7 linked regions of the Callithrix jacchus genome follow. The protein of the gene in region 7 interacts with the protein of the main gene of each other region in a pairwise test. Links are inferred from orthologs where the notes say so. Each region holds a gene or a part of one and is shown on either strand. Other genes may lie near its edges. The genes, in order: AQP1, MAPKBP1, AMMECR1, SMARCC1, SHFL, APOL6 and ADAMTSL4.

Region 1 (4,522 bases), on a different chromosome or scaffold from region 7:
TGCCAACAACTTGTCCCACCCAGGTTTTGGCTGGGGTAGGGCTCAGGGTCAGAGAGGCTGCGGGAGTCTCCCCTGGATCATGAAGGAGTGTGTCACCTGCTGCTCAGACCATCCCCTGTCCCTTTTAAGGCATCCGGGCCACCCCTGAGCCCCCTCCAGTTCCAGGGCCAGTGTCTGATGGGAGCCCTCGGGGGGCACATTTCTGTTTCTAGGCCCAGAGTTGAGCTGCAGAACCCCATCCTTCCTGTCGGGACAGGGCAGCGCCTGAGCCCCCACTGCAATTCGTAGTGCCCTGAGGTTCAGCACTGGCCCTGCTTGGCTGCTCTTACCCAGCTTCCCTGGGATGGGTGATAAGTGCAAAGCAATGAAGTGAGCTGGCTGTATGGGTGTGGCTGTGAGATGTCACAAGACCTAGGTCCCCTCTCCAGGTTCAGGGTCCGCAGCTCCAAGGAAGCTCAACAGGTTAGCTACAGACACGTCTTGAATCCAGGTGTGTGCCTCCCAGCCCAAGGCTGGCCCCCACACTAGGCTGCTCCTCTTTTTCTCCCATTTGCAACATGCCCAGCCCAAGTATTGGGGTTACTATAAAAAACGGAGGCCAGGGAGGACATGGGGCACGGGAGTTGGGTGTGGCCCCTGATCCAGATGGCACAGATGGGGCCCACCCTCCTGCCTCTGCCTCAGATGCCCATACTGGAGCGTGGAGCTTTTGCCAGCAGGTGCAGAGGTACTGCCCTGTGAGATGGGAGGGAAGAGATGGGGCCAGAAAGCCTGGGAATTGCAACCCCTCCCCCATGGGGACCCTTCCCCAGCCCATGATGCCCAGCCAAGCCTCAGTGTGAGCTTGACCCTACCCATTGGAACTCCCTGAGGCCACAAGCTCTGCCTCCACTGGAAACTGAGGCCTGGGGGGCAGAACTTGACGTGGCCTGCCTGAGCTCTGTCCCTTACATCCCCTGTAGCCATGTCTAAACTGGCAAAAGTCTAAACTCCAGCCCAGGGAGCTAATCTTCAATCTTGGGCTGAGCAGAGATTGGCTGCAGAGGAAGCTGGGCAAGCTGTCACCATGACACAAAAGTGCTAAGCCCCCCGTGGCCGGGCTGAGCCAGCTGCCCTCTGCACCAGACCTTTACCTAGCCTCCTGCTGGCTGCCAGCCCCAGAATCTGAACTTTGGCTAGGAAGAGAGAGGACAGCTGCTATAATCACTCCTGCCATCTCTGTGGCACCCTCAGAGATGGCTCACACCATCCCCACACCTGCCTGCCCTGCCCACAGCCCCGCCAGCCTCCTCTCTCTAGATGAGTCCTCCTCTCTACTTCTTAGCCTCCCTCCCTCCCCATGAGGGCACCCCCAAGCCTGCTCACCTACCCCTTGGGCTCTCAGAGACATCCTCCAAGCCTTCCTCAGTCTCCAGGCCAAATCACCCCTGCTATGGCCCAAGCCCGGCCTGAGTTTGCACTTGTCTGAGGAGCTGGAAAAACTCAGGTCTGAGATAGCAGGCAGCTGCCACCAGTGGCCTATTAGCCGTGCTAAGCAGCTCAGGAGACATTCTCTTCCACAGCTGCCACCCAGTCACCAGCATCTGCTTGTCATTAGTGACCCCAGTCCAGACCCCATTCAGGCCAGGAGCCATGGGCACGTGTGGTTACAAACACCCCCACACACCCTTACACGGGTGCACAAACATGCGCACAGTTTACACAAGCTCAGAGACCCATGCTGGCAAACACATGCACACATGCACACCCACACAAACACAGACACACACAAACACAAACACAGACACACACACACGCCACACCTGTCAGTGCCTGGAGCCCAGCACTTGCCCCCCAGCCCACACTGTAATCCAGGAAAACCACTTCCAAACAGCCCCAGAAAGTGTTTTCACTCCCTTATCTTTGTCTAATTCCCTGGAGCAGAGGAGTGGAAGAGAGCTCTTCTCTTAATTCCTAGAGGTGGTGTGTTTGGAAACCTGTGTGAATATGGGGGGCTCCCCAGAGGCCTGGGGGCTCCCTGAGGGAGTCCTGCTCATACACTTGCAGAACCAGCTGCAGACAGGCTGGGCATCAGGTTCAGGGTGGCTAGGGATGGTGGGCAAAGCTTCCCCAGGGTGCAGGGCTGCAGGAGGAGGGAGCTGGCGGCACAGGCAGGACTGAGAAGGGCCAAAAAGCTACAGCCAAGGGGCGAGGAACGGCTGGCCAAGCTTATTCCCCATAATAAATGCCCTGCAGGGGACATTGGCAAGACCATTATTCCCTGGCTCTCAGCTTCCCACAGTGCCTGGCGGAAAACAGGCTCTGGGAGGCATGCATAGCTGAGTTCTAGCCCCAGCTCTCTTCGTGACCTCCAGCCACCTCTTGTTCTCTCCATTCCTCAGTGTCCCCATCTGCACAATGGGCCAAGGATGGAACCAGTGCCTTTCAGCATCATGCTAGAACACCCCGAGCCCGGGGACACCCCACTCACGTCATTGCGGCCAAGCGAGTTCCCAGGCAAGGAGGAGGTGATGCCGGAGAGGATGGCGGTGGCGACGATGGCCCCCACGCACTGGGCAATGATGTACATGAGGGCACGGAGAATGCTGATCTGGCAGCTGAGCAGCAGCCCCAGCGTGACGGCTGGGTTGAGGTGGGCACCGCTGATGTGGCCCACGCTCTGCGCCAACGTGGCGATGCTCAGTCCGAAGGCCAGCGACACCTTCACATTGTCCTGGACTGCCGTCTGGTTGTTCCCCACTGGGTATTTGAAGCCCAGGGCAGAACCGATGCTGATGAAGATAAAGAGGGTCATGGCCAGGAACTCAGCCACTACTGCCCTCCAGAAGAGCTTCTTCTTGAACTCGCTGGCCATGCTGGCAGGGGGCTTTGGCCTGAGACCGCTGCTGGGTGCTCAACTCCCTCTGAGAGCTGAGCCACAGCCTGGGCTGGGCCTATTTATAGGGGCGGGGGGGCGGGGGGAGCACAAAGGGAGGAAGGCCTCTCTTCACTCCTGGCCCGCCCCACACCGCACGGGCCTCCTCTGGATGGATGCAGACTCGGCTCTGCTGTCGGCCTGCCAACTTTTTCCTTCCTCCTCTCCCCCCCCCTCTCCCTCCGCCCTCAGCCCTGCCCAGCCCAAGGAGGCAGGCAGGAGGCGGCCGTTGCTCTAACAGGCTTTGGGAAATTCCTCCAAACTGGCCTCACTCAGGGGACCAGAGAAATCCAGGTGTCTCCACCCTGTGTGCAAAGCTCAGGGGGTTCCTGAGGGTAGAGCCAGGAACTCGAGTGGGTGGAGTGGGTAGGCTGGACTCGGTGGGTGGACGCTGCCCTCCCTGGAGGCAGGCACCATGATCCTGCTGGCCTGACATCCCCATCCCAACCCAGAGAGAGACTGGCCTGGAGTTTCTGAGCCCAGGGCTCCAGAGGCACAGTCAGGGCCTCCTGCACGACCACTGCATGCCATGTTAGGGATGTCCCAAAGCCCCCAGTCCCACCAGCCAAGCCTCAGTGGAAGCAGGCACGGAGGCATCAGTAGGTGCAGAGAGGTTGTCTATGGCTGCTCTCTGTGCTGTGAGTATGGCAGGGCTGTTAGAAAGCGCCCACCCTCGGAGCTCCCGAACTTCTCAGGAGCTGTTTGAACCAACGATTTGAGGGCAGGTTGGTGACGATGGAGACAGTTTCGGACTTTCCTCTCAAGGCAGTCACACTGGCAGGTCACTGGGAAGGTGGAAGGAACGGCAGCCTGACCTGGTATTGGAAGGTGCTGGAGAGGAGGGAGTGAGTGAGCAGGAGAGAAAGGGAGAGACAGGGAGATGCAGGCTGAGGGGAAGAGAACAGAGAGACACGGAGAGAAGGAAGGCGGTAGCAGGGAAATAGAGCAAAAGTGGAAGTGAGAGAAAGATCCCCAGCCAGAGACAGTGAGACAAGCAGAGACACAGAGAGCACGCAGAGGGTTAAGAAAAGACGAACTGAAGCAGGGGAGATAGGACTGGACCCCAGAGCCAAGAAGCAGAGAGGGAGAGATAAATGAGGAGAGGCAGAGAGCAGGAGGGGCCTGATGAGCCCCCCACAGCAGGAGGGACCAAAGCCCTCAGGCAGACCCCTGTGGACCCCCTATGCCCTGGGCATCTCCGATCCAGAGGTCTAGCGCCAGCTGACAAACAACAAGAATCTGGACTCAGGGGCCAGCAAGCCGTCAGGAACCCCGGGGCCCAGCCCTCTTGCCTGCTACATGGAACATGCTGGACAAGCCAGGCCCAGGAGGGAGGGTCCCCCTGTGGCCCCTAGGAAGGGCCTGGGATGATCTGGGCTCTCCTCCCATCTCCTGCCTGTCCCACCACAATCTCATTCAGCAGTGTTGGCATCTTCCCATTTATAGGTGGGAAACTGAGGCCCAATGAGAGGACTCCTCTGCGTTCAAAATGTGCTTAGGGCAAGGCAAGGATGAGTGCATCTTGTACCTCTTGTCCAGGGGCTGTCCTGCAGACAATGACGCCAGCCGTCACTGATCACCCCTCTGCCCAGCTGTGGCCTGGCTCTC
Region 2 (4,579 bases), on a different chromosome or scaffold from region 7:
AATTTTATTTGAGAATTAGCTATCCATGAAGCACACATGTCCTGTTATCACGATTACCCACAGCCACCAAATATTAGAGCAACTCACAGAGCTTAATACACTAGAATTATCACACGGCAGGCTTTAAGAATAATCTTAGGTAGAGATCTTTTACTGAAGAGTGTGGGGAGTCCAGCATCGCTAGGGTCCTGGGCACACAAAGACAGCTATTTCTCTTGGGTGCTAAAGATATGCACCAGTCATTTTGCTGCCAGACCATTCAACGGTCATTCAACTTCAGCTAAGTATTTCTTTCATACACAGCTTTAGGAGAGACAAAGCCATTTAAAGCAGTCTGAAGCACTGAATTCCTGTTTTAAACAGGGAATGGTAAATGGTCTTCCCAGGGATGCCCCTTTTCTGTTTTCCTGGAGAACTTTTCTCCACCTGCCTCAGGACTCATGTTTCAAGCATCCCTTCCTCAGTGAAGCCTTTCCTAATTCCCCTGTACTGACTTAGGTCACCTCCCCTGTGCTTCCATTAACAACTTACGCATACTTCTAGAGCAGTACTTATCACACTATGTTTTAATTATTTGTTTACATGTCTGACTAGCCATAAGCTTTGGTGGCAAGGGTAATGTTTTACCTATCATTGATTGCACACCTAATAGGCACTCAATAAACACTTGTTAAATGCATTAGTAATGAATAATATTGGAAGTCTTAAAGAATGGCAACCATACTGTAAGAATTAATAATGAAGGCTAAACCCTCATTACATGTTTCTACTACTTATACCATTCCTGGCCAGAAAAAGAGGCCAAAGATTTGAGAAGATTGCTCTAACAGTGCTGGTCACTGCCAAGTTACCGGCCACGAATAAGAGCACTTGCAGCAGTAAGAATGAACAGAGTCATATCTAAGACAATTTCTATGTTTCAGGCTTACTCGCCTGCCTCAGGAGAATAGGAACAAGGATTAATAAGAGACCTTGGAAGGGTCACAATGTCCACCATCACAGAACCTTCTAGCAAACTGTGATTCAGTATAATTTCTGCTGAAATATACAGGAAAGCTGTTCACCTTCTTACCAAATCCAGTCAAGGTTCTGCTAAGGAATACAGAGCTGAGCTCAGCCGTCCCAGAATCCTGCCGTTTGTACAGTGGCATTCCAAATCATTCCTCATGGGATTTACTCATCATTGAAGAGTTACAGACAAAGCAATAACATGCTGTGGTCTCAAATGCCTCTCCCTGTAACAATCTTGTACCACACAAGCCTATCGTGTTTACAGGCTACTAATAAGACACAAAATCTGATCTGATCCTATGGGAATAAAGCCCTGGATTTCCTCAAGGGTTTAAATAAATGTAGTCTACTTCAGGATTCCCAAAGTTCTGGGGTTCGTTTAGTTGAAAAAAGCATAAGGAACAAAACCCAGATAAGTGAAGGGATGGAAAGGAACTTTGTTTGTGAGTATCATCTGCAGTGGAGTGGGATGTGGTTCATATAGTGAATGAGATAAGCAATGCTCAAGGACCATCCTGAACTGTTTTGCTGAGAGATATCTGGCTTCTTGAGTGCAATCATTTCTAGGAAGCCAAGATGCCACTTGAAGAGACAAAAAAATTCTGACCCTGGGCAAGAGCAATTACCAAGCCAATTCCTCCGACTAGGTGTTTTGGCATATTTCTTTCTGCCACTACAGTCTTACATAACCCCAGCTGTTACATTAACACCTGCAGCTACATTAGTCACAGCTTAGCCCTTCACAAGGTATGTGTTCCTACTGTCCTCTCCCAAGAAGGGAAACTGAGTCATAGCATATCAACTGGCTTCCCAAGCACATGTTTAGTGTATAGTTTGACCACAATTGAACCCAGGGGGTAATACCACAACTGAACCCAGGAAGGACAGGTGGCCTTCCTCCTATTTACCTCTTCTCAGGATGACTCTCAGCATGGCCACCCCTGCTGCTTTTTCCTTCAACCTAAAACCAAATCATTGACTGCAGAGATCACAAGTGATCCTTTAGCGTCAACAAGAGCTTCTCGTTATCTTTTCCCAATAAACAGGAAAGTTGAAGAGGAACATGGAGCAGGAGAGGGTCGGTTTGGAAAGAGGTGGCTCCCACCAGGACTCACCTTGGAGCTGAGGTCCTCTCGTCGGTTTCCTGGCTTACTCCTGCGTAGTTTGATGGAAGGAGATCTCAGCAGATTCTTGATTCGGCTGGTAATGGTTGACCCTTCCATAGCCATTACGACGAGAAACCCCTTGGGACAGTCCCTGGCCCAGTCCTGAGTCTTGTCTCAACAGCGGCACTGTCTTCCCACTCCACAGGGCTTCCGAATATGCCCTCTCACTGACCTGAGATGGCAGAAGCCACCTTACTATCAGAGTCTTATCTTCTACCTAGTGAAGTCTGCACCTTTTCCCTCATTACCACCTTCGACCCCTGCACAGTTTCTTACAACGTTGGAAGGAAAAGCTCACAAAAAAGGGGGACAAAATCCTAAGCCACGAAGAAATGCCAGGCCCACGACCGCCAGAGGCATTTAACTGGCGAAATGGATGGGATGGGCCCTAGTTAGTCTCGTGGACTATCTGGTTCCCGTTAATGCCCAACTGTGGACTATCTGGTTCCCATTAATGCCCAACTGTTCCCATGGCAACTGTACTGTCCAAGGGAGGAGACTGCCGAGACCACCAGGGATTTCAACAGGAGGCCAGGGCACCTGCGCTAGCGGCAGCGGGGACGTAAACCAGCAACTCGTTCTGCCACGGGAGCCTCCCTCCCCACCCCCTATCCTCCAAAGCTCGGTCTCTGCTCTCCACAGCGGCTCTGAACCTTTATCTTTCACCCGCCTCTGAAGCCCCTGCTACTCGTCAGCGCCCCCGTTCGGGCCCGGCCTCACCAGCCCCGGCGAGCGAGGGCCACCACGCTCACAGCGCCCTCGGGCATCGCGCTCGACAATTTCAGCCCCGCCGCGGTAGCTGCAGCGGTAGAGGCAGCAGCAGGAGCTATGGTGGCACGAGCGGCTCAAAACGCGAACTACCGCTTGGACCAAGATACGCGCCAGATGGGCGGAGCCAACGCGAGGGGCGCGGCCTGTAGCCAGGAGGGCGTTTCCAGAGTAGACGAGCAAGGTTTACGGGGCGGAGCCAATGAAAGGACCCAGGAAGCAGACGACTTGGGACTAGAGAACCACGGAATCCGCACAATTGTGGGTACGCTTTTAAAGGAAGGTCAACAGAACATTGCTTCAGAATTGAGAGAACCAAGCCTTTTATGGTATTATCAGGCCTTGTCCCCCAGAGAACTGCACTTCCCAGAGCCCCCAGACGATAACCACGCCTCCATGGTGTTAAGGTTGGCATTTGATAGGCCCGAGGGCCCGTAGCAGAAACTCCTAGCTCACAATAAGACTGAACTACAGCCTAAAAGCTGTGCTCCTAGCGACCCTAAGTGTCGAGATTTAAAGCGGTTGGAATATTTTCTGCTCGTAGCCCGTGCGGCACGTTGACTCAACGTGGAAAGGATTCTTCTGAGTAACGCAATTCAATTGCTAAGAACAATGTTTTGCACTACGCAACCTGATTGGCCATAATGAAAGGGGAAAGGGTGCCTTTGAACAGAGCTTTGGGCGTGCGGGGTAAGAGAGAAGACAAGTGTATGTGCTATGGGACATACTGTAAGTTTCATGGTTTTTTTAGCCTCCGAAATCCCATTGTGCTCCCTCAACTAAAGCTGACCAGGACTTTGTTGCTCCAGATCTTTTTCCTTATTCCTGTCAAAATTTAGTTGTGAATCCTTTTCCCCAAGGCTGTTTCCTTGATGAGGTCACTGTCAAGCTTGCTGATACTATAACGAGGGGTAGTTTTTCTAATTCATGGCGGGGGAGACGGAATACACGGAAATGCTACATACAATATATATTTCCTGAGTATTCTCCACTTTACTACTATAACAAATTACCTCAAGCCAGAGACTTGGACCCCAAGGGAATAAATAGTACACTGGTGTATCCGTCTCAGTCCACCCAGATCTTTCGAAACCCTGTGGAGATAACACGTGTCAACAAGTGAGGAACCTCTAAGGAATTATTAGACCTCATGAAAAAGCCTAAATAAAAGACAAGGGACCCAAGGGAAATAGTACACTGGTGTATCTGTCTCACCCTATCCAGATCTTTTGAAGCCCTGAGATGACGCGTGTTAGCAAGAGGGAAGAACCCCTAAATTCACTGCTTGTGTACAATGGTGAGTCTTGCACAGCCAAGTGGCAAAGCAAGTATGTGCTTGTGTATACTGTAACCACATACTAAAAATGAGATTTGTAAAGCTCACAAGTTGACATGGAGATGATGGATGTCAGCTTCTGGAAGACCAACAATAGCATGTGGCCTTCTTCCCTTCAACCATGCACTGCAAATATTATGAAACATGAAATGTGATTTTCAAATGTATTTCCCAAATCTGGAGGAAAAAGGCCAGAACCATTAGCTACAATATGCAACAGATCGTTGGTTCCCTCAACCCATTGCTAGTACATGATTTGACCTCTCCATGGGAGTAAAAGCTAATAAATGGTGCCACC
Region 3 (3,783 bases), on a different chromosome or scaffold from region 7:
TTCTAATGAATGACATGTCTTCTCCTCTCTTTCTCTTAACAGTAAAACTGAAAATGTGATTGATCTTTTATTTTTTATGCATACAATTCTTCTGGTCTGTGTTTTAGAACTTCTTTCCTGTATGTGGAGGGGGTGGTGGGATACATACACACATGTCTTTATCTTGGATTTGAATGAGAACTTGGAAGTATTTTTTAAAATTTTTATTTGTCAGTAGAAAAATAAAAGAAGCCAAACCATAGGGAATTTACATCATTAAATTATAAAATAGTGAAATGCTGTTTTCAGAGTATGAATTATCACAGATTTCCTGATTTTCTTGGTTAATATTGGCTTCTTGAATGGGAAAAACATTTATACTTTTATACATATATAACATTTCTATATCGTCCTATAAGCATTTTCCTTTGTATAGCAGGATAAAATGAGCACCCAAGTGTATTGCAAATATACAAATGCAGTGAGTGAGCTTCAAAATGCAAACAAAGAGATGGGAAAATGAAAAAAGAAAATTCAGCAATGAGAAAATCACTGGAAAATGATTTAAATTATTTTCAAGGCTATGGAACTATGTTATGACCCAAGCAGTTTGTAGAGTCTGAGTTTGTAACCTCTGAGGATTAATCTGTGAAAGTATTTCTAAGCCTGGCTACTATCTAGGACATTTGAAGATGGATATCATGAATGCCAGTATTGCCATTAATATATTAGGCAATCAGAGGTATGTTTGTTTTTCTTGATGAGGAAGTGATTTCTTTTAAAAAATTCAGCAATGAGAAAATCACTGGAAAATGATTTATTTTCAAGGCCATGGAACTATGTTATGACCCAAGCAGTTTGTAGAGTCTGAGTTTGTAACCTCTGAGGATTAATCTGTGAAAGTATTTCTAAGCCTGGCTACTATCTAGGACATTTGAAGATGGATATCATGAATGCCAGTATTGCCATTAATATAGTAGGCAATCAGAGGTATGTTTGTTTTTCTTGATGAGGAAGTGATTTCTTTTAAAAGTACAAGGAACCGTGTGTGTGTGTGTGTGTGTGTGTGTGTGTCTGTGTGTAGTTTCTGTTCCACTGCAGGAAGAATTATGGTTTTTCCACATTTTACAGTGGAGATTTTCTAGAGTTTGGCACTATGATATACTATACTTGATTATAGGATCCAATCAGAGTTGATGTACTCAGAGGTTCATTGACGTGATTAATGGTCTCCTATTCATACTTTTATTTCCTAGATTTGCCCTATTTCCTGTAGTTCCACAATTTTTGAGTCATATGTTAAATTATCCTTTATAGGGAGCCTGAAATTCTTATTTTTAGTCTATAATTTGCATGATTATTTCCATTTTCTTTGTTTTTTTTCTTGAAGAAAATGAAATTTTCATCTTCCTTTGAATCCTTTGAGTGCTATTCTATGGTGACTGGCTTACCTAGTATAATCTTTTTAAAAATAATATTTTGTGTGTGTGTGTTCATGTGTGTGTGTGTGCACTTATAGGTATATGTACACACACACACATACACGTGCGCGCACACACACACACACACATAAAATTTATTTTTACTGCCACCAGCACTGGATCCTGAAATCTTCCTACAAATTTCTACTAGTCTAGTTTTTATTCTTCTCAAAAGCAAAATAAAACATTCTTAGATTCTGCAAGTAGCAGGGCAAGACACCAGGAAATGGCTATACAGGAAATGTAATTGATCATTCACTCTTTACAATTGAAGCAGTCACAAGATTGGCTAGCAAACACAATCTGTTTAATGAAAAACCAAAGGTGACTTCTAAAATCTTTGGGGACTTTGAATACATTTGAAGCTTATTGATACCTTTGACATCTTACTGATTCTTTTTGAAACTCTTACCTTTTTCAAATAATTGTTTGCATTTGAAATTTGGAACTATGTCCAGTGATTGCTTTAATATTTGCTTTGTTTTTGACAGTGCCCTTAAAGATAGCCGTTTTCCCCCAATGACAAGGGATGAGCTGCCACGGCTTTTCTGCTCAGTGTCTCTGCTCACTAACTTTGAAGATGTCTGTGATTATTTGGACTGGGAGGTAAGATTATAGAAAAATTTTTAAAGAAAAATGAAGGTAACTCTTGAGTAGATGTTAAAAACTAGGCCCAGAAAATAACTCTTTCAGCCCATTCTCTGTTGTAATGGAAGTCGAGAGTAATATGGATAAATAAACCTCACAATTGAAATATGAGATATAAGTAAATTAGTTTTTAAAGGGCAAAGTATCATGTATTGTTATAATCCCCAGACTGAATTTGGTTTTCATTTTTATCCTACTACCTCAGCAAAGCACCTCATAAAAGCTGTTAATATGTAATAAGAAGGACTGATTGGAATTTATTTCTCCTCTTATTTTCATCTTGATGTACTCTGGTATAACCGCCACCAACTATGTAACTAGTTGGTCAGAGGATACATCTCAGAAACAAGAAGAAATAGTTAGGATAATATACCATTTGGCAGAATCAGCTTGCGATAATAACAAGGTATTGATTAACTAGAGTTAAATAATGTGAATTCCTTCTTGGCTACCTTAATTTATACATTTAAACACCCTAATAAATAATATTAAGGTTATATCTAGGGTATCTCTGTGTATTGCTATTATTAGAGTAGCTTATAATGATCCTATTTGTATTCTTCGTTACCATGTGGGGTTGGCTAACATGATTTGCTTTGGTGGCTGGGAGATGTTGAGTGTAGGTCTATGGGTCTATGAAATTTTAACACAACCACGCCCATATTACTGAATACCTGTTGTATTCCAGCAATGTGCTACATATACAAAAGTGGTAAGATTCAGTTCCCACCATGAAGCATCTCATAATTCAGTAGCAGAGTAAATGTGTATAGAACGTATGAAGAAATAAGTGCTATGAGAATGAAACAATAGGAACTCAGTGATAAATACAGCATTCTGTCTCACACATACACTTATAAATGGCATTATTGTATCCTTACGACAGATTTTAATTCTACTGCTGTTTTAGATGACCATCCCCCATAGTAACGTAACTGTTCTGCCTTGGACATAGATCACTCTCTTCACAGTTTATTAGACTTGAATTTAATTTTGGATTTGCCCTGATTCCTTGTGAGACTTTGAACAATTTACTTACTCCACTTGCAATTCAGTTTTCTAATATACAGAATAAGACATTAATTTTCTTCATTTGAAAAAAAATCTCTATGATATAAATTATTGTTCTTATACCAGAGCTATTTAAAAAATTTTGGGGAGTGTCATAAAAAAAATCTTTTCTACAGATAGTACAATGCAAGAGTCCCCTCTGGGTTTTCTGATAAGATTTTCTGGAGTATTATCAGAATATGAACACACCTTACGATTTTTGCAAAAGAAGAAATAAAATAAATTTATACTGTTGTCCCCAGCAAAGTTGGAATGTGGAAAACCTTTAGTAAACTTGAAATTTCTAAGTTACTATTTCTATAAGTTTGTTCTTCTTATTTGATTTTTTTAAAAGAGAAGTCTACAAATATTATAGAAATATTCCCTAGTACTTTATTTTTAAGTGGTCCCAAATCATGTTCCTTACTTATTAACATATTTTATAATTTGGATGGTTCTTTTACTGCTTTAAAGCTGCTGTTTCTTCTTCCGCAGCCAGATTTACTTTTGCTTTCTGGATTGCAGAGTGTTGTGTATGTAGTAGTGGGGGTGGGAGTGATTATTTGGGAAAAGCCTGAGATCTAAGGGGGATGACCAAGCAGCTACTGAGTTGAAAGTACAGTTC
Region 4 (4,440 bases), on a different chromosome or scaffold from region 7:
AAAAAAAAAAGAAGGTAAATAATATCTATCACCTAGAACTGCTGTGAGGATTTTAAGTGAGTTATGCTTTAAGTACCTGGCACATGGTAAATGCTCGGTTACTGAATGCATGAAGTGAATGCAAGAGTTTGAGGTTGCAGTGAGCTATGATCACACCACTGTACTTCAGCCTGGGCAAGAGAAAGACCTTGTCTCAAAAAAAATAAAGTAAATTAAAAATGAATCAAAAAATGACACTACCAAAGTCATGTTTACTGAGACTGAAACTGTAACTGCTCTGAAAATGCAGCAGTATTAAATCCAATAGAACCAATCTTTTGGTTTTTAACCAAATAGAAATGCATTGTGTAGAAAAGAATCAAAGAACCTTCTGATGGTATTTTCACCACTTTAACAGTAACACCCAGAGACTGAAAAGATTCTGGCTGTCAAGCCTAAGGTATACATGATTCTGAATCTGAGTAGACCCTAAAAATACTCTCTGGCTTTACAAGTTCAGAGAGGTCAAAGGTAACTTTGTCTATAAAGTCTCAGGTACAGTGAGTCAACATTACCCAGGTGGTCTCAATACTGCCAAGCAATTCCTCAAACTGCTTTGTAGCCACTTCCCTACCCGCCCAAACAAATGCCTGAAGGATTATCCATGGCTAAAGCTTCTTGTAGTTGGTCCCAAACTGATGCACACTGAAGAGTCTGGAGAGGTAGAAATTACTGAAATTTGCCTTTTTCTACTCTGTTCCTTGATATTCAAAGGAATATGCCTCTAGATTACTTTTCTTTGTTAAATCTCCACTGAATTTAAGACCCAAGCACATTCACCTGTGTGCTTCAATTAAAAAAAATAAAAGACCCAAAGCTTAGATGAGAAAAAAAAAAAAAAAGACCCAAAGCATTGGCTAAAAGGAAAACATATTCAATTCCATTAGCCACTTCTAGAAGCTCTATTACCCACATTTAAAAAGTGACCAATTTATCACTGTTTAAGAAAGGGCAATATTCTTAAAAATGTACAGTCTAAATATAACTTCAGAGGGAGGGGAAATCTAAGCACCTAAAAATACAATTATTGTCTCTCACTTCCTCAAACTTCAGATAAGAAATGTAATTTTTCTAGCTAACCTTCAAGAAAGAAAAGAGAAAGAGAAAGGAGCGTGGGAGGAGAGAGAAAGGAGGGAGGGAGGGAGGGTCGGTCATTCCTTTTTTTTTTTTTTTTTTTTTGTTCTTGTTTTTGAGGGGGACAGAGTCTCACTGTATTACCCAGGCTGGAGTGCAATGGCGCCATCTCGGCTCACTGCAGCCTCTGCCTTCTGTCTTCAAGAGATTCTCCTTCCTCAGCTTCCCAAATCGCTGGGACTACAGGCATGTGCCGCCACACCCAGCTAATTTAGCATTTTTTCTGGAAAGACGGGGCTTCACCTTGTTGGCCAGGCTGGTCTCGAACTCCCGACCTCAAAATCCGCCCACCTCGGCCTCCCAAACCGTGCCTGGCCAGAAATGGTCACTTCTGAATAAACCACGTGTAATGCCAAAGGAACCCAAGATCCCTGCCCATGCCTAATAACTGCCCAACACCGACAGGCTTCACTGAGCTCTAGAGGCCAAATAAATAGGTTCCTAAACCAGTTTATCTTTTCATTCATTCAACAAATATTTACTAAGCAGCTATTCAGGGTAAGGCAGTAAGTATCAGCGACGTTCCCAGATACACTGCAGTGAACAAAGCCTTTGCTTTAGTGCTATGATCCTCAATGGGGAAAAGTACAGAACTGAAGAGGGTGCTGGGAAAATTTCAGAGGCTGGAGGAGGCTTTTTGGCTACCTGCTTCATTACACCCTTTAAGGGACTCTTCCTGAATATTTACACAAAGGGGAAATTTTTAAAAAAGCATTTCTTATAAACAAGGGATTAAGTCAAAACTTTGAAAACTACTGACTCGGCGGAACTTCCATTCTAAAGGTAGGAGAAATAAGTAAATGAATAATTGATTTCAAAATCTGGTAAACATTACAAAGAAAAAAAGGTAACATAAGGAAAGTGCTCTAATAAAAACTGGGTTCTCGGGAAAGGCCTCCCTGAAGAACCCCTTAAGTACAATGAACATTAACTCTCACACCACACCGAACCAGAAGTATAATCAGGTAAAAACCGTTGTTTAATAGAAGTTCACATCCATCCTATATAATTCATATTAACCTGTTAGTAATTAACGAATATAGTCATCCCAGTTTAGTTGTTTAGGAAATCAACAACAGGTAGCAAACCCCCTCGAGGCTTTGAATACTCTCTATAACAAAACTTAAAGCTTTTACCACGCTTGCTCAGTCTTTAGGGATCATTGTTCAGACACCTAAGGCAGCTGACGAAAGAAAGTCACACTCTCCCAGTGGCTAAGCTCGACCTGCTCTGGCACACGAGAATGAGCAAGGGCTTTCTCCAGGAATGCGTGGGTTCAGAGGAGCGAGCCACGAACCCGTCAAGCCCCGGGCGCTCGGGCGCCGAAAGCGGACGGCGGGGGCGTGGCGGGCCCAGCGCCTGCCTTTGTTGTCCCTCGTGGCGCGCGGAGGGGGAGGGGCGGCCCGGGGCCCGCGAGGCCAGCTGCCGCCTCCCGCCCCAGTCGCGTGGTCTGTCGGCCCCCGCGAGCGCGCGAACCCACCTTCTTGTAGTGCTTGCCCAGCCATACCCGCACTGAATCCAGCTGAGACACCGTCTCCGGGCTCTCCCAAAACTTGGTGGCCGGGCCCCCGTCCTTCCGCCGATAAACGGCCAGGCCTGCTGCTACCGCAGCAGCACCCGAGCCCGTGGAGCCTACTGCTGCCCCTGGGCCGCCACCGCCGCCCGCTACTGCAGCCATCGTCGCCGCCTGTCGCCCTCACCGCCTGGCCCACCCCGACCCTTGCGGTGCTTCCCGTTCGCTCCCGCGCGCCCTTGCGCGCGTAGCCGCCACCGCCGCCTGCCGGCCCCGCCCAGCCAACCCCCTTCCGGCGCGGACGCCCGGCCCCGCCCCATCTCCGGACTGGCGCCGTATCCGTCGCGAGCCCGCCCACACGCATGCGCAGCTATTCTGCGGCCCTGCAACGATTTCCAGTCGCCTCTTCCGCCAGCCTCCGTAGGCTGTGGACGTTCTCGCTTACTGAGCGCGGGTCTTTGAGCTCCTTGCTCTTCTCTCGCTACAGACGTCCAATCATGATGCGGTCAGCAACCGCAGGTGGGTTCTGTGTCATCGCCTGCTCTGCTGGACAGAAAAGGCCTGGTACGAGAAGTGCCGAGAGGAAAGCCTGTCTAGGGTATCCAGTGCTGGCCGAGGACCCTGCGCGCGGACTGGGACTGCGCTGGGCTCAGCTTTCCGGCAGACCCTCCACCCGGAGCGGTCCCGCGGCATTTTGCACAGCCATCTGGGATGCCCATGCCTGAACTTAATGGCTTCACAGACCTTCCCCTCCCTCATGGCTCCAGCCACAGCGGCTCATTCCTGCCCCAGGGGCCCTGGCACCGGCTGTTTCCGAGACTTCCAACAGGTCTTCCCTTCTGATTTTCACTTAAGAGACGCATTCAAATTCACTGCTTCAAAGCACTTCAGAAAGTCGTCAGATCTTAAAATCTTGAATAACTATTCTCAACCACACATTTTCTCGTAGCGCTCACCACGATCCGGTGTTTCTAGTTTCTCACCTTCCACATAAATTACATGAGAACCTAATCTTGACTTGTTCACAGGTGTAACCTGAACACCTGGGACAAGGAATAAGATGTACAGTAAATACTTGATGAATTAATGAATGGCCCACATAGAAGCAGAATGATTATTAATTATTAACAAGGTATGAGGCTGGGCACGCTGGCTCAAGCCTGTACTCCCAGCACTTTGGGAGGCCGAGGCCGGCGGATCAGCTGAGGTCAGTAGTTCGAGAGCAACCTAACCAACATGGAGGAAACCCCGTCTCTACTAAAAATACAAAATTAGCCGGGCATCGTTGTGGGCTCCTGTAATCCCAGCTACTAGGGAGGCCGAGGCAGGAGAATCGTTTGAATCCGGGAGGCAGAGATTATGATGAGCCGAGATCGCGCCATTGCACTCCAGCCTGGGCAAAGCGAAACTCCGTCTCAAATAATTAATAAATAAATAAATAAATAAATAAAACAAGATATGATTGGCCAGGCACGGAGCATTTTGGGAGGCTGAGACGGGAGGATTGCTTGAGCCCAAAAGCTCTAGACCACCACCCCCTCCTGCCTCTACAAAAAATAAAAATATCAGCTGGGCGTGGTGGTGCAAGCCTGTGGTCCTAGCCTCTTGGAAGTCTGAGTAGGGAAAATCACTTGAACTGGGGAGATCAAGACTGCAGTGACCTATAATCAAGCCGCTCCACTGCAGCCTGGGCAACAGAGCGAGACCCTGTTTCAGAGAAATAAAAAGTATAATTGGCCATAATGGAGTTGTGA
Region 5 (4,254 bases), on a different chromosome or scaffold from region 7:
GTCTTCCTCCTGCCCCAGTGAATATCTCCCCTCCTTTCCTAATGGACATGCTTCTGTGCCTGCAGATGTCCTCCTCCCCACTTCCCCATCCCTAGCCACAGCCACCAACTCACCTCAATGTCCCGGTCCTGTTTCATATCTTCTGGTGGGTCCTGGGTGGAGATAGCAGGGGCAGAAATGGGGGATGGGGCTCAGGCCTCTTTCCATCTGTTTGCTGGGGTAGAGGCCTGGCTACAAGGAAAATGGGGTGCCCCTAACTCGCCAGGAACTCACAGAGCACTGCCCACTTACTGAGAGCCAGGTGTGTGGTCTCAGTTGTCCTCATAACAGCCCTGAGAAGTGGGCACACCTGTGACATTATTGCTGCACTGGAGAAACTGAGGCTTAGTGGAGGACTTGCCTGAGTGAAGCCAGCCTGACTCCCATACTCACTTCCTGCCTGCAAATGCTACATGCTTGTTGGTGTTGTGATGCATCACCCCTTTGACGCCACACTGTGCCAGAGATAAGTGGTGGGAATCTGGGTTGAGATTCAGGTTTGAATCCTAACTCTATCACTTCCAGTTGTGGGGACTTGGGCAAGCCACTCCCTGCCCCCTGGGTTCCCACTGACTGACAGGCATGTCAGAGCTCAGGCTCTGACTCCAGGTGGCCAGGGTTCAAATCTCAGCTGCCACCTGCTTGCCTCGAGAACCTGGCAAGTGACTTAAGCCTCAGTTTCTTTGTCTATGAAATGGGGATGATAAATAATAGGACCTGTCTCCTGGGTCACTGTGGTGATGAAATAAATCAATTCCTGGAGTCTCGCCATGTGGGAAGTACTCAATCAATGCTACCCTCTGTTATTGTTATTATTATTTTATTTTTGAGATGGAGTTTTTTGCTCTTGTCGCCCAGGCTGGAGAGCAATGGCACGATCTCGGCTCACTGCAACCTCCGCCTCTCGGATTCAAGTGATTCTCCTGCCTCAGCCTCCCAAGTAGCTGTGATTGCAGGCATGCACCACCACACCCAGCTAATTTTTTGTGTTTTTAGCAGATACGGGGTTTCACCATGTTAGCCAGGCTAATCTCGAACTCCTGACGTCAAGTGATCTGCCTGCCTCTACCTCCCAAAGTGCTGGGATTACAGGCATGAGCCACTGCACCCGGCCCCTCTGCTATATTTTTATCATACTTTTACATGTGTAAATGTGGACTATGATGCATATTTTATTATACTCTTTTACAGCCCTACACTGAGCCTTTCAGGCAGATGAAATCCACAGCGTTCCCATCACCAAAGCTCTCCAAGAAGCAAAGTAGCCGCGTTGAACCTGTGCTTCAAAACCATTCATTCATTCATTCATTCACTCACTCACTCACTCACTCAACACAAGGGTTCCATTTCCCCACCTCTCTCTCCTCCCCAATCCCCTGCTCATCGCAGCCTTTTTAGGGACTGCCACTAACAACCCTTCCCCACTTCCAGTCTTTGCTCATACCATTCCCTCCCCCACCCCAAGACCCCTGGCTTCCCCTCCTAGGGCTCACTACACCCCATCCTTTAAGACGTGGTACCTCCTCCTCCAGGAAGCCTTCTCTGACCTCTGGGGCTCCCCTACCATGGCAATAATCCTGGCTCCTTTCATTGCCTAGTTTCATGGCTCTCTCTCTCCCATTGAATACAATCAGCACATAATGAGCGCCTACTGTTTGCAGGCTCCCTGGTCTCGCAAACGATGGAGAGGTGAAAAAGTGAGTAAGATTGGGCATGAGTTGCAGACGACAATGCCTGGTCCCTGCTGTTTCAGAGGAGGGTCCCCATGAACGGGTCGGGCCCCCTCTTGCTCTCCCTCCCGTGACCCAGTCCTTTGAGAGGGGAAGGGTTACCTGGGCATCCAGGCCGTTACTCAGTTCTTGGCCATCTTTTTGCTTTACCCCTGCGGGGAGAGTGCGCATAAGGGAAGGGCCTTTGAAGGGTCTGTGGGAGTTCCAGGCCACCCAGAACCGCGACGCAGAGCCTCCCCCAAGCTGGGATCTCCAGGGGAGGTGATCTCAACGCCTCTCCCTACACCACGCCCCCTCGGCGATCCCACGCGCGGTCCCCGCACCAGGCCCGGGCCCCCTCAGCCTCACCGTACACGATGGAGCGCCCCACTCCCGTGTGGTCGCTGCCGAATTTCCTCATCAGAGCCCCCGCCTTCTTGGAGGATACCTTCCCATGAAACTTCTCCCGGAGGCGCCGGACGCTCTTCTCCAGCTGGGATGGGGACACGGGGGCTCCGCTGGGGGAAGGGGACGCGCGATCTTCCCTCCCCCATTACTAGGCACCGTTCTCCCGGCCTGAACTTGACCCTTGGTTTTGGCCTCCGCCGCCCCCCCCCCATCCCTCTACGGCATTTCCTGGAAAAAGCCAAAGTCCCCACAGGGCGTTGGGGGAGGGCGCGGGCCGGGGCGAGCGTCCCAGCCTAAGGTGGGGGGTCGGCCAGGTTATCTCTGGCCTCTGACCTTTGACCCTGCAGCCCCCGCTTTTCCTCAGGGAGGCCTCATTTTGCTCTGGGGAAACGTGGGAGTCACTTTCCTTTTCAAGGGGGGCGAGCGCAAGGCAGGGGTAAGGATCTGGGGTTCTAGGATGGGGGTCCCCAGGAACTGCGAAGCCCCTTCCGCGCCTCCTGGCCGCTCCTCGGGCTCTGTCGCGGCTCCCCCCCGGACCAGCCGTAGCCATCTCCTACCTCCACACCTTCCTGAGACATGGTGGCGGCGGCGCAGGTCCCCGCGAGGGTCCGCACTGCGCGGCTCAGCCGCCCCCCTACCTGGGCGCGCCCGTCGGTCCAGCAGCCGCGCAGGGCAGGGGGCGGTGCCTCGGGGCCGGCTCCGCCCTTCCTCCCCGGCCCCTGTTTCGCTTTCGGTTCGGGGGGGACCGGGCGCGCTGGCTCCGCCCTGGCTCCGCCTTTGCTCTTGCGCCCCAAACCCAGGCGGGAGCCCCGGGTCTGCACCCTGCGGCGGAGCGCGCAGACCTCGGGCGGGGGAGGCGGCGCGGCCTCTGCAGTCGGTCACATGTCCCCACGCTGCGCGGGGTCCGCGTCTTCACGTCCCTCGTGGGGGCGGGGCTGCATCGGAAGGCCGCGGCGAAGCCCCGCGCCCCCCCACCCAGCGCGCGCTCCCCCAGTCCATCACCCTCCTCTGTCCTCCCTCCTCCCCCGGGAATCTGGAGCTTCTGAGGACCTGGGCCCTTTTCCTGCCCTGAGTCTCTGTCCCGCTACGGTCACTTCTTTGAGCCTCAGTTTACTGCTCTGTGAAATGGGGAAGATCCTGGTTTCTACACCATGGAGTGGAGCCTGTGCCAAGATTCCCGAGTGGATCGCGTAATAGCGCCTGGCTTGCAGTAGGCGCTCCACTAGCACTGGGCCACCTGCTGTGTGCCCTTGATGGGGCAGGCAGTGTGTGTGTGTGTGGTGCGGGGAGCGGTGCTTGAGAAAAATACAGATTCTTGGTCTCTAGTAACCCGGTAGAATCCGGCTGTCTCAGGGATCCAGGGAATCTGCCATGGTTGAGAACGCGGTGGGCCGGGACAATTCGAACCTTGTACAGGATGCATCTGGTAGCCCTAGAGTGGTGGGGCTCTGGCCCAGCCTGGGGACATCAGAGATGGCTGCCTCGTTGGAGGAGGGGATGCTTTGTACAGCGTCACTGGAATTGGAGGTCTGGGGGAGGAATAGAGTGGGGAGATGAAGCAGCCTGCGGAGCCCCCAAAGCAAGACTAAGTCTGGGGCGCTCGGGCAAGGGTTTCTTAAGCCCAGCACGCTTGACATTTTGGGCTGCCTAGTTCTTTGTGTGGGGGACTGTCCTGTTATGGGGAACATTTAACAGCATCCCTGGGCTCCACCCACTAGATGCCAATGGCTCCCCACTCTCCCCATGGTGACTACCAAATATGTCTCCAGAGACTGCCAGATGCTCTCTGAGTGGCAAAATAGCATTGTGTTCAACGACTCCAGTTTTTTTTCTCCATTGGACACCCCTATAGGTAAAACTGTTAAAGCTCCACCCGCAGATGGATGTTTGTTTGTTTGTTTATTTATTATCTTTTGAGACAAGGTCTTGCTCTGTTGGCCAGGCTGGAGTGCAGTGGCTTGATCATGGCTCACTGCAACCTTGAACTCCTAGGCTCAAATGACCCTGCTGCCTCAGCCACCTAAGTAGCTGGGATTACTGGCTTATGCCACTATTCCTGGCTAATTTTCAATTTTTGTTTTTTGGTAAAGATGGGGTC
Region 6 (2,672 bases), on a different chromosome or scaffold from region 7:
AGGCTGGAAGCCCCAGATTGCACTGCTGACTCATTTACTTCCTGGTGAGGGCTCTCTTCTTCTGCCCTGCAGACGGCCACCTTCTTGCTGTGTCCTCAGATAACCTTTCTTCAGTGCAGCTGCGCAGCAGGGGTGGGGAGGCCCTCTTGTGTTTCTGCTCCTCTTATAAGGAGGTCAATTCCATCATGTTAGGCCCTCACCCTGATGGCCTCATTCAAGCCTAATTACCTCCCAAAGGCTCCATCTCTAAATACAGCCACATTTTGGTTTAGAACTTCAACATATGAATTAGAAGGAGAAGGCAATTTAGTTCCTAACTCCCCCTGTGGTTCAGTGTCCTTTTTTTAAAACTGGGAAGACTCAGCTGGGCACAGTGGCTCACTCCTGTAATCGCAGCACTTTGGGAGGCCAAGGTCAATAGATCAGTTAAGGTCAGGAATTTAAGACCAACCGGGCCAAACTGGTCAAACCCTGTCTCTACTAAAAATGAAAAAAAAAAAAAAAAAAAAAAAAGCAGAGCTTGGTGGTGTGTGCCTGTAATCCCTGCTACTTGGGAGGCGAAGGCAGGAGAACTGCTTGCTTTCAGGAGGCAGAGATTACGCCACTGCACTCCAGCCTGGGTGACACAGACCCCGTCTCAAAGCAAAGAAACAAACAAACTGGGAAGACCCTTTTCCCAGCACATGGGCCTTAAGAAGTGTTGAGGGAGAAACAGAAGGCACGCCCACGTGTGTCCAGGACAGGCACCCTCATCTCCAAGATGTACTTGATACCGTTTGGGCCTCCAAGGCCATTGTATACCCGTGTCCTGAGGTGCATTCATGTAAACATGACATACACACAGACACACACACACAGACACACAAATATCCACACATGCTCCCTTAACCCCTTCCAGTAAGCCTTGGTTTCACAGGTCCCCGTTAGAACCTTCGCCACCACTCTGGCCCTTGACCTCACTTTCTGCTGCAAGCTCTGGTACAGCTGGGTTAGTTCTGTGAGGTTCATCTCCAGCTCCGAGGCCTTGGCTCTCAACTCTTCCGCGAACTTTGTCCTCGCTCCTTCCTTCAGGTGCTTCCATTCTCTTGAGAGAGCGGCCAAGTCAAGGCCAAGGGATAAGGTGGTCATCGTGCCTCCCAGCATGCGAGCATTTTTGGTCATTGCCAGTGTTGTCCCTGCAAAGGCCCTTTGCACCTGTGCGGTGCTCCGGGAGGAGACTTTGCCAGTGGTCAGAAGACGCTTGGCGGCATTGGCCAAGCGTGGGTTGGCTCTGATTTTCTGAAATGCACGGACGTTGTGTTTGGCGTTCTTCATGGTGTTGTTAACGTGACAGATAATGTCTATAGCGACTCCGACATAGTCTGCCTTCTCTTCCGCAGCTTCCTTGTCCTCCTGGTCATGGGTGGGCAGTATGTCTTCAGCCTGAGCTTGGGCTTTCTTATTTTGGGAGCGCTCCAGCAAACCGCTCACAATGCTGGTGACCGTAGCTGCTGTTGCCAAACCTTGACCAGTGGCGGAGAGTAGCAGGCTTCCTCCTCCTGTTGCTGGGGCAAGGGCTAAACCCAGGAGGCTCACCACCCCAGAGACGACAGCAGTGGAGTTGGCCACCAACTTAGTCTTGGTGAATTTCTTGTGGGTTTTGTCAATATCCTCTGCGAGGGCACGCAGCTTGTCGATGTTACCTTTTAGATCTTCTCTCATTCTGGGAAATTGTCTTAAAAATATTTTTTCTTTGGGGGACAGATCTCCATCTTGTAGCTCCACATCTTCACACAGAAAAGCATCATCCTCGTCCCTGAGGAAAAGTGAAATAAAGATTTTGCTTCAGCTTCCCAGCTGGGAAAATCCATGTGGCTCTTGGATATTCTCGCCACTCTCAACTTTGAGTCCTCCCTGTACCTCCCTTCAAAATCCCCTGAAAATTCTTGGAGTGTCATAGAGGAGTTCAACCTTCACTGAAAGCTACTGGTTCCATGGAGAAAAGAAACACATAAAAGGGGCATGTGGAGGGACAAATGTGAGTCACCCCAGCCTTGGCCAAGGAATGGGGAAGGCAGATTAGTCCTGAGGCATGTTTTCAGCCTTGTTCACAGAAAGCACGGCACTGCCACAGAGGAGGGGCAGTAAGGAAATGTTAAAACCCTATTCAAGATAAGAAACTTGGGAACTCCGGTGCGGTGGCTCACGCCTGTAATCCCAGCACTTTGGGAGGCAGAGGCAGGCGGATCACGAGGTCAAGAGATCGAGACCATCCTGGTCAACATGGTGAAACCCCGTCTCTACTAATAATACAAAAATTAGCTGGGCGTGGTGGCGTGCGCCTGTAGTCCCAGCTACTTGGGAGGCTGAGGCAAGAGAATTGCTTGAACTCAGGAGGCGGAGGTTGCAGTGAGCCAAGATCACCACTGCACTCCAGCCTGGTGCTTGGCGACAGAGCAAGACTCTGTCTCAAAAAAAAAAAAAAAAAAGAAAGAAAGAAAGAAAAAGAAACTTGGGAACAATGGCTGGAGAAACCTGGGAAAGCAGGAGAAAGAGAAGACAAGGTGGTGGGCGGGGATGAGCATCCCAGATGTGTAGAAGTGAGTAGGAGCCTGGAGGGGGCCACATTGCATCATGCATCCTCCATTCTGATGACCTTGAATTTGGCTTCCATCAGAAGCTGTACATTGCGA
Region 7 (3,787 bases):
CCTCCGGCCGCCTCTAGCAAGTTCTCTACCTTGTGAGAAGCGAGGGGGAGGGAGGAGGCCAGGCTGAGCCATCTCTGAGGAATGTGGCTTTGGCAGGACAACCCGTGCTGCCCGCTCCTCCCCCGCCCCGGCCGGGCTCCTCCAGGGAAGGGTTCGGGGCAGGAAGGAGAAGGAAGCCCCGGAGCGTAGGGCAATGCGGACGGCAGAAAGGGGGACAGAGGAAGGGGAAAAAGGAGCTTCGGCAAGCCAGCTGTCCTTCGCTCAGGCCCTGGTGGAAAGGAGAGACTTCCCGGCGAGGTTCGGCCCACCAAAGAGCGCACGGCTGCCGCGCTGCCCGGAGGCCCAGCGCCCCACACACCTCGGCTGGGAGCACTGGTGACCTCTAGTGGCCCATGACCAGCCTGCAGGGCCTGGGGCTGGCGGGGTTCCTCTGGCCCAAACTCTCCTCCTGGGCTGATGCTGTTCCCCTGCCCCCCCCCCACCTTCTGCCTTCACACTGCTGAGGGGCCCGCAGCCCGACAAGGAAGAGCCCGTTTCTCATTTGTCATAACCATCTTTAATAAAAAATAAATTAGTTCTGGGTGGAAACCATTTCAGGAGGCAGGGCGTGGGGCTTGGGGCTGCGGTCACATTTCTCATGCTCACATTTCTCTTTTCCACCCTCTGCCCGGCCGGGCTTTGCTCTGGAGAGGCAGTCTCTGTCCTCCTGCCTTCCCCGGTAAGGCAGGATTGGCAGTGGCTGACCCCAGCCCTAGCTAAGCAGGGAGGCAGGGGCAGGGATACTGGGCAAACGAGAAGGGAGGGGTCAGAGACTCAGGGCGGTTTAGATGTGAGGCCTGAACGTGAGCAATGAAGCTCAGAGCACAAAACTGGAGTTGGTGGGAGACCACCCTCTAAGCAGCCCGCATTAGCAAGGAACTGCAAACTTGCTTTCCTCGCTGCCTAGGAGTCTCAGGGAAACAGGTCTTGTCCTCCTCAGTCTGTGGAACTTCTTTTTGAAAAGTGATACACGTTTGAGCACACACATATCCACGCAGTCCCCGATGCACACCTGGGGGGCGTTTGTGCACACCACCACACAGGCCCCACCACAGCCCTGAAAGCCACTGTCACCTTGCCACCCCCCATCACCTGGAGGACATTCTTGCTGAGACTGGGACAGGCTGGAGAGCCAGGGGGTTCAGAGTGGGCTGATCACTGGGTGACCGATGGTGGCATAGAAAACCATGGGGGTGCCCCGGACCCCTTTCAGGAGGGCTCCTGGGGAGACCTCTCCTGGACATGTGCGCAAGAGCGGCAACAGGTGGCTGTGTAGTAGGGGTAGACGCAGAGCCGGGCCTGTACCACCAGGGGGCAATGTGGAGAGCTGTCCTTGCATTGATCATCTGGGGACAGAGGAGGCCAGTGGGAACAAGACTGTCACCAGGACCCACCTGTCTGAAGTTGTGCTGCCCATTCCCACTGGTCCTTTCTCATCTCCTCCCATACTTCAGCTAGTCCACTCTATTGGGGGTTGGGGAGAGGGGTCTCTTTACCAGGGCGCTGGCTGCAGGGTTGGCTGTTACAGGAGCGCTTCCTGGAGGGCCTCTGGTGAGGAGGGCATCGGGTGCTGAGGGTCTGGTTGGCGCTCAGGCACTGGACCTCCCGCGTCTGCAGTCCGCCCTGGCAGGAGCGAGAACACTGGGGCGACCCCGGCTGTCCTATCAGACCTTTGCCAGGCCCGGGATGCTCCTTAACCCCCAGCTGGCACCTCCCTCCCCAAAAGCTGGTGGTGGGGACCCTTCTAGGACATTGTGAAATCACAGATGGAGAGGACCCATCTGTCCTCCAAGTCGACAAGAAATGGGACAATGGTAAAGCTTGGCTCTTATCGTGGGGCACAGAGAGACCTGGAGGGGTACAGTGAAAGGAGCACCCCTCCCTTGGGGGCCCAGGCTGAACAGGGCAGGGCAGCCAGGCACTCACCGGGCTCCAGGGTGTGGAAAACCATCGGTCCTGGCAGGCCTGCCCTTGACAGGGCTGCAGGGAAGGGGGCCTGGGCAGGTGGGAACAGTTGCTCAGAGAAGTCACGTTGAACTCCGTCCCCAGTTTGGACACACAGATGATGTCTCTCCGCTGCGTGCCGGAGCCGCATTCGGAGGAGCACTGGGTCGGGGAGGACAGGGTAAGAAGGGGAGGGGAGGACAGAGGGCGCCCCAAGTGCCCACAGGGAATCCCCTCAGGACTGGCACCCCCTTCCTGCCCTCAGCAGACGCTCAGCTCACCTCACCCCAGGGCCCTGTGTACCAGCGCCACGTCCTCTCACAGGGCCCCAGGCTGCAGGCGCGCATGTCAGGGGGGCGGCTTCCTGGTGGACAGCTCTGCTCAGTTCCTGCTCCTGCTTCACCCTGGCCCACCCCGTGGGCTGCCCCGCTCCCGAGGCAGACCACAGAGCGCCTCTGGATTCCCGTCCCACACTCGGCTGAGCACTGCGGAGGAGGAGAGGTCTGTGTGAGGGTCCTGCTGTGACAGGCACAGAGGACAGGACGGGGCGGGGGGGGCGGGAGGGACACATCCTGGGTCTGAATCTGGGTGGTAGGGAACGTCCCCGGGTACCAGGCCTGCCGGGGAGTCCTAGCCGGGCCCCTCGCGTAAGTTGGAGCTGTGCTGGAAAGGCTGAGGAGGGTGTCCTGGGCGTGGTCACCCAGGACGCAAGACTTGGCTAGGGGGTTAGGGGCTCACCTTGGAGCTCCAGTCGCTGTGGAACCAGGCCGTGGTACAGGGCCCCATGTCACAGGCCTCTCTGCTGGGGGGCTGCGGGGGGCCTGACGCACACTCCTGCTTGCTCACTTCATCACCGGTGTTCCCCACACAGCGAACCTGACGGCTTCTATGGCCCCGGCCGCAGCGCACGGAGCACTGAGCGGGCAAGGGGAATCAGGGAGCTGGGCTTCCCAGGGCTTCTCATCCAGCCTCCAGCTCTAGGGCTTCAGAACTGGGCTCTGCCTTCCATCCTCAGCCCAGCAGTCACATGGCTTCGTGGGCTGAGGAGGAGGCTGAGCCCCTGGGCCCTGGGCCCCCTATCCCTAGTTCAGTCCCTTATCTGACTCCTATATCAGGGTTCCACAGGAAACCCTGTTTGTAAATAGTTTCTGCTGATGAAAAAGTAGTTGGAAAGCCTCTGCTCTTGCTCCCCGTGCCCATTCCCCTCCCCAGCCCCTTCCTGCCCGGCGCACTGACCTGGCTCCAGGGAGAGCCAACTTCCCAATGGCCACAGAGGCGCAGCTGGCAAGACTGGGTGATGTTGGGCCGGGGGAGATGTCCACAGCGCTCTGGGGGCACCGATGAGCCACCTCCCCCAAACTCCTGCCGGCACTGTAGCTGGCGGTGCTGGGTGCCAGGGCCACAGGAGCGGCTGCAGGATGTCCACTCGCCAGCCTCCCAGCTGCAGGCACCAGCAGGGCAGGGAAGAGGAGGAGACAGATGAGATGTGTGGGGCTGCCCCGGCAGGGGGTCGCATGGGGCCTCAGAGGAGAGTGGGCACATTTGGCATTTGGAGTCTGGGTTCCTGTGGGGGCTCAGGCTGCTGTGGCTTTTTTGCTGCCTATGGAACGTCCGCCTTTCTAATCTCATGTTGTCTCTCTGCAGCCAGGAGATGTCACATTGAGTGCAGAGTTCAGGTAAGATTGTGGGGGCAACCGCTGTGTTTCCAGTACCCTAACCCTCCCTGTGGGCCATACTCACTATGAGGGGCACAGGGGGGCGTGGCAAGGTTCAGGGGAGGCTGGGGGCCTGGCACTCGCAGTGC

Evidence for each region.
Region 1: the proteins of ADAMTSL4 (region 7) and AQP1 interact in a two-hybrid assay, tested with the Homo sapiens proteins (2 studies listed by BioGRID and IntAct). The link is inferred for Callithrix jacchus from reciprocal best matches to the Homo sapiens genes ADAMTSL4 and AQP1.
Region 2: the proteins of ADAMTSL4 (region 7) and MAPKBP1 interact in binary tests that used the Homo sapiens proteins (3 or more experiments, as listed by UniProt). The two-hybrid records come from large-scale screens. The link is inferred for Callithrix jacchus from reciprocal best matches to the Homo sapiens genes ADAMTSL4 and MAPKBP1.
Region 3: the proteins of ADAMTSL4 (region 7) and AMMECR1 interact in binary tests that used the Homo sapiens proteins (3 or more experiments, as listed by UniProt). The two-hybrid records come from large-scale screens. The link is inferred for Callithrix jacchus from reciprocal best matches to the Homo sapiens genes ADAMTSL4 and AMMECR1.
Region 4: the proteins of ADAMTSL4 (region 7) and SMARCC1 interact in binary tests that used the Homo sapiens proteins (3 or more experiments, as listed by UniProt). The two-hybrid records come from large-scale screens. The link is inferred for Callithrix jacchus from reciprocal best matches to the Homo sapiens genes ADAMTSL4 and SMARCC1.
Region 5: the proteins of ADAMTSL4 (region 7) and SHFL interact in binary tests that used the Homo sapiens proteins (3 or more experiments, as listed by UniProt). The two-hybrid records come from large-scale screens. The link is inferred for Callithrix jacchus from reciprocal best matches to the Homo sapiens genes ADAMTSL4 and SHFL.
Region 6: the proteins of ADAMTSL4 (region 7) and APOL6 interact in binary tests that used the Homo sapiens proteins (3 or more experiments, as listed by UniProt). The two-hybrid records come from large-scale screens. The link is inferred for Callithrix jacchus from reciprocal best matches to the Homo sapiens genes ADAMTSL4 and APOL6.

Annotation. Positions count from the first base shown.
Region 1 is NC_133512.1:27,327,427-27,331,948, forward strand, and holds the start of AQP1 (aquaporin-1), read right to left. Parts: upstream 2,913-4,522; 5' UTR 2,855-2,912; coding exon 2,471-2,854; intron 1-2,470. UniProt on the Homo sapiens protein: Forms a water channel that facilitates the transport of water across cell membranes, playing a crucial role in water homeostasis in various tissues.
Region 2 is NC_133509.1:44,826,075-44,830,653, forward strand, and holds the start of MAPKBP1 (mitogen-activated protein kinase-binding protein 1), read right to left. Parts: upstream 3,025-4,579; 5' UTR 2,898-3,024; exon of another isoform or gene 2,350-2,897; 5' UTR 2,241-2,349; coding exon of another isoform or gene 2,127-2,240; exon of another isoform or gene 2,058-2,126; intron 1-2,057. UniProt on the Homo sapiens protein: Negative regulator of NOD2 function. It down-regulates NOD2-induced processes such as activation of NF-kappa-B signaling, IL8 secretion and antibacterial response. Involved in JNK signaling pathway.
Region 3 is NC_133524.1:106,622,244-106,626,026, reverse strand, and holds part of AMMECR1 (nuclear protein AMMECR1), read left to right. Parts: intron 1-1,951; coding exon 1,952-2,066; intron 2,067-3,783.
Region 4 is NC_133516.1:30,460,641-30,465,080, forward strand, and holds the start of SMARCC1 (SWI/SNF complex subunit SMARCC1), read right to left. Parts: upstream 2,953-4,440; 5' UTR 2,852-2,952; coding exon 2,654-2,851; intron 2,504-2,653; exon of another isoform or gene 2,310-2,503; intron 1-2,309. UniProt on the Homo sapiens protein: Involved in transcriptional activation and repression of select genes by chromatin remodeling (alteration of DNA-nucleosome topology).
Region 5 is NC_133523.1:9,278,703-9,282,956, reverse strand, and holds the start of SHFL (shiftless antiviral inhibitor of ribosomal frameshifting protein), read right to left. Parts: upstream 2,846-4,254; 5' UTR 2,735-2,845; coding exon 2,714-2,734; intron 2,242-2,713; coding exon 2,118-2,241; intron 1,922-2,117; coding exon 1,872-1,921; intron 153-1,871; coding exon 114-152; intron 1-113.
Region 6 is NC_133502.1:206,571,662-206,574,333, reverse strand, and holds the end of APOL6 (apolipoprotein L6), read right to left. Parts: intron 1,796-2,672; coding exon 820-1,795; 3' UTR 516-819; downstream 1-515. UniProt on the Homo sapiens protein: May affect the movement of lipids in the cytoplasm or allow the binding of lipids to organelles.
Region 7 is NC_133519.1:10,468,463-10,472,249, reverse strand, and holds the end of ADAMTSL4 (ADAMTS-like protein 4), read right to left. Parts: coding exon 3,724-3,787; intron 3,425-3,723; coding exon 3,220-3,424; intron 2,899-3,219; coding exon 2,722-2,898; intron 2,469-2,721; coding exon 2,265-2,468; intron 2,146-2,264; coding exon 1,966-2,145; intron 1,681-1,965; coding exon 1,536-1,680; intron 1,386-1,535; coding exon 1,249-1,385; 3' UTR 534-1,248; downstream 1-533. UniProt on the Homo sapiens protein: Positive regulation of apoptosis. May facilitate FBN1 microfibril biogenesis.